2 linked regions of the Daphnia pulex genome follow. The protein of the gene in region 2 purifies or fractionates together with the protein of the main gene of each other region. This does not show direct contact. Links are inferred from orthologs where the notes say so. Each region holds a gene or a part of one and is shown on either strand. Other genes may lie near its edges. The genes, in order: serine/threonine-protein phosphatase 4 catalytic subunit and protein phosphatase methylesterase 1-like.

Evidence for each region.
Region 1: the proteins of protein phosphatase methylesterase 1-like (region 2) and serine/threonine-protein phosphatase 4 catalytic subunit purify together in Homo sapiens (affinity purification with mass spectrometry; 3 studies listed by BioGRID and IntAct, with this or other methods). This does not show direct contact. The link is inferred for Daphnia pulex from reciprocal best matches to the Homo sapiens genes PPME1 and PPP4C.

Annotation. Positions count from the first base shown.
Region 1 is NC_060025.1:1,447,562-1,451,841, forward strand, and holds serine/threonine-protein phosphatase 4 catalytic subunit, read right to left. Parts: upstream 3,012-4,280; 5' UTR 2,921-3,011; intron 2,535-2,920; 5' UTR 2,264-2,534; intron 2,131-2,263; 5' UTR 2,113-2,130; coding exon 1,963-2,112; intron 1,903-1,962; coding exon 1,750-1,902; intron 1,688-1,749; coding exon 1,514-1,687; intron 1,450-1,513; coding exon 1,323-1,449; intron 1,255-1,322; coding exon 1,062-1,254; intron 998-1,061; coding exon 868-997; 3' UTR 268-867; downstream 1-267. Other genes in the region: probable chitinase 10, read right to left, coding at 3,248-4,122, 4,188-4,280. UniProt on the Homo sapiens protein: Protein phosphatase that is involved in many processes such as microtubule organization at centrosomes, maturation of spliceosomal snRNPs, apoptosis, DNA repair, tumor necrosis factor (TNF)-alpha signaling, activation of c-Jun N-terminal kinase MAPK8, regulation of histone acetylation, DNA damage checkpoint signaling, NF-kappa-B activation and cell migration.
Region 2 is NC_060026.1:6,517,446-6,521,747, reverse strand, and holds protein phosphatase methylesterase 1-like, read right to left. Parts: upstream 3,087-4,302; 5' UTR 2,876-3,086; coding exon 2,799-2,875; intron 2,742-2,798; coding exon 2,543-2,741; intron 2,475-2,542; coding exon 2,119-2,474; intron 2,033-2,118; coding exon 1,967-2,032; intron 1,906-1,966; coding exon 1,716-1,905; intron 1,636-1,715; coding exon 1,458-1,635; coding exon of another isoform or gene 1,437-1,457; intron 1,375-1,436; coding exon 1,242-1,374; coding exon of another isoform or gene 1,238-1,241; intron 1,176-1,237; coding exon 1,157-1,175; 3' UTR 678-1,156; downstream 1-677. UniProt on the Homo sapiens protein: Demethylates proteins that have been reversibly carboxymethylated. Demethylates PPP2CB (in vitro) and PPP2CA. Binding to PPP2CA displaces the manganese ion and inactivates the enzyme.

The sequences.
Region 1 (4,280 bases), on a different chromosome or scaffold from region 2:
TTGTCAAATAGTACCATTAATTAACAAAAGGGAAAGTTGATTAAACGTGGATTACCTTGTGATAGTACGTAACCTTATCACAAAACCGCACACGGTAGTCGAATGTCACAACGATATTACCTTATCAGCTGATTCATCACGCAATGTTGTTTCGGGACAGCGGTGATAATAAAAACGATCGTAAAAATGAATAGCCGTTATGACTCAATGTTGAGAAAGTAAACATCGAGCCTTGTTTTCGAAACTAATGCAGGTACACTAAACATGTTTTCGTCTCAAGTCCATCGTTATTTCAAGAAATTGTATACAGTGCATGTTGAGAGCCATCGCAAGCATCACATTCATAATAATATAAATGGGTGCAACACAAACAAAAAAAAAAAGATTTTGGAAGCATGGCCATTGCATCAATATTTAGCACTGATGTTAAAAAATAATTACACACGTCACACAATTCGCCCCCAACATACCATAACCGCACGTACACAAAGATATTGTTCATTAAACTGAGTAGTGGGAGTAGCTTATAGTCAGATGTGATATCCTGCAGCAAAAAGTTGAAAAGGGAAACTGAACACTTGTTTGGACGATCAAGATATATTTTTATTATAAAGGACAAGACTGTGTTTACCAAAAAAAAGGAAGGGATTGGACAGAACAGAATTTTCAAAAACCTATTTGTTAGTCCGGGCGGTCAAGGTAAATGGTCAACCAACATGATACAGGCTCTTTTGCTCTGTTTCAACTGATGGGGTATCTCACATCAGTTACTGTTTTTTTTTTGTGTTTTTTGTTTTATGCATTACCGAATAATTATTTTTGTAAAAAATCGCAGGGGATATATCAACGATCAACATTTCGCGTTTCTTATAGGAAATAATCGGCTTGAGGTTTTTTGGAAGGAATGCCACGAGTCTCTTGAGGGGCAGCTTCAAAAATCGTGAATTCTCGATGGAGATTTTCGTCCAATTCCAAAATGGCAGCTACATTTCCACACCTATTGCAATATTAAAAGTTTAAGTAATCATCTTGGTGAAATCTGGCGGGAAATTAAGACAAACCTATAGCAGTAGTTGGGGGCAGACCACACCGTCAGCACCGTTTCGTTAAAATGCCATTTGTAGCCTTCCATGACAAGCTGGTGTGCTCTGCAAATCATTTCGATGTCATTTGAGGTGTTGAAATGTTGCACAACATCGGAGCCAAAAAGATAACCGGCACCGCGTGGACTCACTCCCCATCCTTGCTGTGTATCTGTCAAAAGCAAACACCCAGAAATGAATTACCACTTTCAGAAGTATAGCCAATATTTATTTTCCTACCTTCAGGATCAGACCAAAGGAGATCACACATAGGTCCATCGTGAGGAACTTCCTGCTTTCTGTCAATTATTCGGATTTGATCCAGTGTCTGAATTGAAGGAGATAGCCCACCATGCACACAGAATATCTAAAATTTGAAAAACATGTCATGTTAGAGTTTTTATCAATGCATGTTACTACTGGAAGCATACTTTGCCGTCAATGATGGCTGAAAGACTCAGGTAGTCGAAAATTTCAGTACAATAGCGCCACACAGTGACTGAACCATACTTTCTAAAACATTCGTCATAGAAACCATAAACCTGGGTAATTTGACGTGATTCATGGTTCCCTCTAATCAAAGTGATGCGATCTGGATAACGAACCTAAGAAAGAAATCTCAAATCAGAAACAAGAGAAAGAAATGCTTAACAAAAATGTATACTACCTTTAAAGCTAATAGGAGAAGAAAGGTCTCTACACTGTAAAATCCTCGATCAACAAAATCTCCCATGAATAGATAATTTGTGTCTGGAACATCCCCACCCACTTTAAAAAGTTCTTTTAAATCATAAAACTGGCCATGGATATCACCACAAACCTAAAGCAAGCAAAAAATGTTAGTTATTGAGCAATAATCAAAAGCTTATGAGAAACCTACTGTGACAGGAGAGTCAACACGCTGAACATTGCTTTCTTCAACCAGAATCTCCCGTGCTTTGGCACACAAGGCTTTGACTTCTGATTCTTTAATGATATCACACCGTCTGAGTTGTTCGATCTGTCGATCCAAATCACTAAAGTCTGACATATTTACGTTGTCTGTTTCCTAGTTGACGAGAGGGAAATAAAGAATAACGACCTTGAGTATGTGCAACAGCCGACCGGTGATGTCATACACATTGACTTGGTAAATGAGGAAACTGACATTACACAGAACGAGAATAAGATAAAAGCTTTACCTCTTTGCGTTATTAATGAAATATGAGTGGTGATGGCGAAGAATGAATTCGTGACTGGATAAGTTGACGATCGAGAGTTAAGCCACGAATTGAATCCGTCCTCGTCGTTCTTCAAAGCTATCCTTACTTCCTTGGCTTGCCTTACGTTGCCGGACAAAAAAACTGGGCTTCAATCTAAACGCCATTAAATTATTCGGCGTTGCCAAGTTTCTCCGCAGTTTTAATTTCAAGCGCGCTTTTTATTCCTTTTTGTTGAAATATCGATATTGTTCTGAAAATGATTTACAAATATCTGGTAATATTATTAGTAAGAAAAAAAATTTACAAATAAAGATAACATCGCTAGCACGCTAGTAAAAAAAATATTTCGATACATTATTTATCAATTTTGAAATATTCTCTGACGTCAGTCGGCCTTCAGCCCGATGTTTGCTACCAAAACATGGTCACGATGGGTTTCGTTTATTCAAACGGGACCTTAACTAACGCTGACATTCAATTGATATTTTATTTCTCAGAATTCCTTTGGATTAAAAAAAATCGATTGCTTGAGACGGGCATGTTCAGGCTGATTTCTCATTTCTGATTCAGTCAAAACACAGATCTTCTGACGGTCGTTTACTTGTTTGCAATAAAGACTTTCATAATACAACCAACCTTGATTCAAGCCTTGGAAATCTGGTCTTTACAATGTAGCCGTTAACCCATTACTTATTTAAACACTTCCTGTTTCGACACTTGACAATGCCACTCGGCACTCGCTCAATCGACATTGGAGTTGTCAAATTTCTAATTCATTTTTAACGCAATTTTGCAACAAAAAAATAAGAGTTCTCTTGGCTTACTCAATGAGTATATCAATTAACAACATTTAATTATCACTCGTGTGTATTGCGGGCCGAATCAATCAGATTTTGAATATATAGTAATAAGATTTAAAATATTAGAAATGATTAAAAATTGTTAAATTTGAATTCTAACGTCCTAGATAACTAAATTAATTAAAATAAACCCGAAAGCCAAAAATGTAAGTTGCTGACTATTGCCAGCAATTCGGTGCCCATTGTTTGGTATGAATGGCGTTTTCGAACTCGTAGCCTGTGTCGACTCCGTCGTGACTCTTGGCCAAGTGGACAGTTTGGTAGTGGATGGACGGGGTGTTGTTGGCGTTGTTGTCGTTGTCTCACCCGTAGTCGTCGAGGTGCTGGCTGTAGTAGTCTTGGTGGTCGCCGCCGGTGAAGTCGTCGTAGTCGATGTCGTCACCCCAACAGTTCGTGAAATGTTGGTCATAATAGGATTGGGTCCATCACCACAAGTGTTCCTAAAGTCGTCGGTACTCATGTCCCAAACCATGGCTCCGCCTAGTCCCCTCTCCAGAACGTAGCGACTTTTGACATTGGCCATGACGGGATCGTCGTAACCAACCCAAGTCTTTGGCACGCTCGGAGTGGAAGCGTATGGACCGATTTGGAATGTCGGATCGACCACCACCTCCCAATTTTCGTTTTTCACATAATTACAGATTTCGTTGTATCCTAACGTTCCCGATTCACCGGTTAAAGGTCCTGCAGCTCCAGGTCCCAAACCGGGTGCCGGAAGCGTGGGATCCTCCGTGTAAGTATAATCGAGTGTCCAGGACTTTCCGTATAGGGGAATTCCCAGCATGAGTTTTGAGGACGGCATACCGCTATCTTTCCAGTACTGGACGACAGCATCGATATTGTTGGTTTCATCTGTATCCCAATCTCTTTTATAGAGCGGGGCGTGATGGTCAGTTAAAGGTTCCCATGGCCCGTGCATATCATAAGCCATAATGTTGATGTAATCAGCTGTCGTGGCCAACACAGGTATGTCGTATCCTAACGTTGAAAAAATGTATTAAAAAAACCTTTTTATTTCATATACACTATTGATTAATACTGACCGAGGTCGCTAATGGTTTTATTGACTCCCACAGCGATAGTGAGTGAATATTTCGGTGTCTGTAAATTAAATGCGGCTCGAAGTTCCTTCATTA
Region 2 (4,302 bases):
CGTTAGTTTCCTTTTCAACACTTTGTTAACAATAAAAAATCTGTAGACAAAATCCATTAGTGTCCTTTCTCTCCTGTCTCTTTTTGACTAATAACGCTTTCACTACATTTGGAGAAACGAAGCACGGCAAAAGCGACTTTCTTCCAAGGTAGATTATTTGTTGAAAAAGTTAAGCCCAATTTTATAGAAAAAACAGGTGAAATGCCATTTTCCCCTGTTTATGCAAAGCGAATTCATTAGTTGCAACCGGAAAAAAACCCAACATAAGGCCTTTCGACTTTTCTTGGCCACTTCAAACCGGTTTAAGACATGGAGCTCAGGGAAATCCGGTCGCTTTGCAGGCTATAACTGTTTTCTCAAAAAATTTGGTTTCCGCCTCTTAAAATGCCTGAAGCGCACCAAAGACAATCCATTTCAATAACATCCGTGTTGACGTATTAATTCAAATGCGTCAGTGACTAGTGAAGTTATTTCTAATAGAATTTTGAACTTGAAAACTTTTTTATTTATTTTCCTGTTCTGTATTTATGAAAACTTCGAACTGAATGGATGAAACTGATTCTAAAAAAAGTTAAAACTTTTAGATCTTGTGACGTATCAAACTTGTCTTCAATAAACAATAAGACCTTGTGACGTATCAATATTTGTTTCCATAAACAACGAAACAGCATCAGTAATTCAATTCGCCAACAAAGGGAATGTCCTTTTGGCCTTGACGAACTTTATTAATACGAATCACCACGTACGAAGAAAATACGAAAATTTAGATATCTTCAGGTGCAAAGGATAATTTCGCCTTCAATGTTAGCTTATCGACATCAAAGAACCGACACGCAATTTGTTGTCGACAAAGAACCGACACAAATTGTTATTGTCATTTGATTTTGACAAAGAAATTTGATGCGGCGGAGCATGACCCATTTTCTTTAGAATGCAGTTTTAAGTACGCCATTTTGAAGTAGGAAAAGTAAAACTGCTGAATAAATGTTACAAAACACTTTAAAATGAAAGTATGTAGAACAATGCATATGACGCAAAGAATATGACAATATGACCATAAAGTAAACACAAATATTCAGGACCCAGATTCTACTGTCGCATTATCGAACACAATACTCAATACTTCATTTGTTGTCGAACGTGATAAGTGGAAAATCTAACAAGCAGGCATCACCCTAGATTATATGTAAAATCTTTTAATTTATTTTTTATTTTAAAAAAGAAAATATATTTATTTTTACCAATTAAATTTCTCCTTTGGTGATGTCAAGCGATTTCTTACTAAAAATGTAGCAACCACTTCTGCAACCTTGTCTGGCACATCTTCGTGTACCGCGTGCCCACACTGAGGAAGCACTTGCATTTGGAACTTTCCTATTTAGGCCACAAACAAAAATTGACATTAAGACGAAAACGGATTTTAATATTTTTCAAACTATTATTTGAATTTGACTCGCCTTGCATCTGACCAACGGTTAGTTCTCGGTCGAGTCGGTCAATGCCGGCCAACAGCAGGAGCTTCGCAACAGGAATGGCTAAAAATGTAGCCGAGAGACCATGGAACCATCCCGGCCATTGGTGTTCAGTTTTTGTCAGATCAATACGCCAGTGATAGCCAGTCTTAGGACTAACGGCCTAAATACAAGGACGAGAAGTTTTTGCTTAAAATTTACTCTAAATGTGATGTAACTTGATAAATTATCCGAAAATCTTACTGGAGGGAAAAATGTAGGTTCTCTAGTTGAAGGAGAACTTTCAATTTTTTCATCTTCATCTTCTTCTGTTATACATTCACCATGTTTGAGCGCATTCGAAGTTTGTGTTGTAGCATCAAGTGGTGAAGAAGCGGTAGGAGTGGTGACTGTTTCTGGCACATCAGATGTAGCGCATTCTCCAGTCACGTCACTAGATGAATTGAAAATTTCGTTGAAGTTCTACATTTTCAAATACACAACTCAATGGATACCTCCGTAATTGACCAGGCATAGACACTCTAGCAGATTCACCGTTTCTAATCTGACCACTTCTGACACTATAAAAACACAACAAATGAAATTGTTATAATTAGAAAGTTTTTACAATCAAACTTATTCAATAGTATTTCAGTAACCTAAATACCTCCATTCAATGGCTTGTTCCAAGGAGAGAAACTGTTTGGGTTTTGATCTTAGAAAATTTTGCATAGAGGCTAGTGCTTCCATTGCTGTTCCCTCCACAACATCGATCACAATGAGCCCAGCAATCATTGGGAGCTGATCTGTAGCAGCAGCATGAACTGCAATTGCTCCTCCCATACTATGTCCAATAAGAACAATGGGAGGAGGGTCTGATCCAAAGACATGTTTGACCACTGATACAATATCATCAGCTTGGGTTTCTGCTGAAAGATTTTCATCATTGTGTGTCTTGCTGTCACCATGACCCCTCATGTCAATTGCAAGAATCTGACAGGAAACCAGCCCTTCAATGCATTCCTAATAAAACAGTGAATTAGAAACATACATCATAAAACATTAACATTATTTAGATAAGAATAAATTACAGCAAACAACGACCAGCTCAGAGCAGAAAATCCACCTCCATGAAGCAGAACAAGAAGAGGGCCAGAAGATCCTCTACGATAAACCTGAAATGAATCTCCATCTTCATTTACCACTATTTTTTCACGTGATGTAAAATAACGGCTCCAATGAATAGGGGTATAATCTTTCTTCTTTCCCATTCCACTAGGTCTTGAAAAGCTAAAAAATAAAATAAAAATATTGTTGTCTCAGATACAGTACCACAAACAATGGTACCTTTTGGATGAAGGAGGAGGGAGGCCCAAAGGAGCAATCAATTTACACCTTACTTTCTTCAAAGCACTTGCTTCCATTTTTAAGATCAAATGTTATTGTAAAAATTACCGACTAACCAGATTTCATTTCAGATTTTCTGTCAGGCAGTGCACACAGCAGCTGGCTGCTGGAATAATAGAATAATGTCGTCTGCAACTGTGATTTGCAACATAAATATATCGCTACGCATTAAATTAAATCAAGATCGATTGTCAGTAAGTTTTTAACTGAATGTTTATGAATGTTTATAAATTGAATGGAGGATTCTCGGCAGCTTCCATTAAATAAGTTTAATAAAAGAATTATTTTTGATTTCATAACATCCAAACCAAGCCCTTGTGGCCTAATGGATAAGGCGCCAGCCTCCTAAGTTGGAGATTGTGGGTTCGAGTCCCACCAAGGGTATCTTACCTTTTTGGTATTTCAAAAACCAAAAGCAATTTTAAATTATTCTTTTCTTTCTTTTTTCGCATCTACTATCTTCTTTTCCTTCTCTTCGCAGATTTTTCTATCATTTTCATATCGGAGAATTAAACGCATGAATTTATATTTTAACTTTTTTAGGGGCATTTAGTAGCAAATTCTGCCATATCCATTCTCATTGGTCGAACATCCTAGACATTTTATCGAATTGGTTCTATAGACATTTCTATGTCTCTACTCAACAGTTGAAAACACAGAACAAAATTTTTCCCATTTCCTAATAGATCGTACAAGGGGTTACCTAATACATACGTGTAGTTTTTCCCTGTCACACATACTTCTTTTTCTTTTCTTTTTATGGGCCTACCAAATAATAACGGGCAACGGGAAGTTGACAGTCACGCACTTTTTCGATGTAGTAACGGTTCAGTAGAGCAGGTCAAAGGTGACTTTAGATTTCCATAAAAAGTGAAAACACAACAGATTAGGTATGCTCCACGCTATTTGATTTTTCATTTAAAAACTTTGCCAAATTGTATCCGTAAGTTCACATTTCTTTCGTTTTGAACACTAAGACGACTTTGTTTATTAACTATAACTTACTATAATATCAGCTAACTCTATAACTTAATTACTAGTAGCGATGGGTCAAATAAAATTAACAACGAATGGAAATGTTTTGAAAAGATGGAATATATACAGGTAAGTACAAAATTTTTAATAGTACGGTGTAAAATTGAATTGAATATTTCCTCTCCTCGAGCACAGTACATTCAGACATTCTGTATTTAGCCAATATATTTTTTCGTTTTCCTTTTTTGTTCTTCTGTTTGTTATATTCTGCTTTTGTAAGAATTGCGCTCCACCTTTCTCCGGAAAAGCAATAGACGGTCCATGTGACATTTCACTTCCCATGTATTTTAGGTTTAGTTTTGACCTATATGATTCTTTCGAGAAAGAAAAATGAAAGTCTATAATTATTTGTATGTTGCTGAACAATGGACATTCATCCAGTCTCATCCAGTGTGCCATGTTTAAAGCA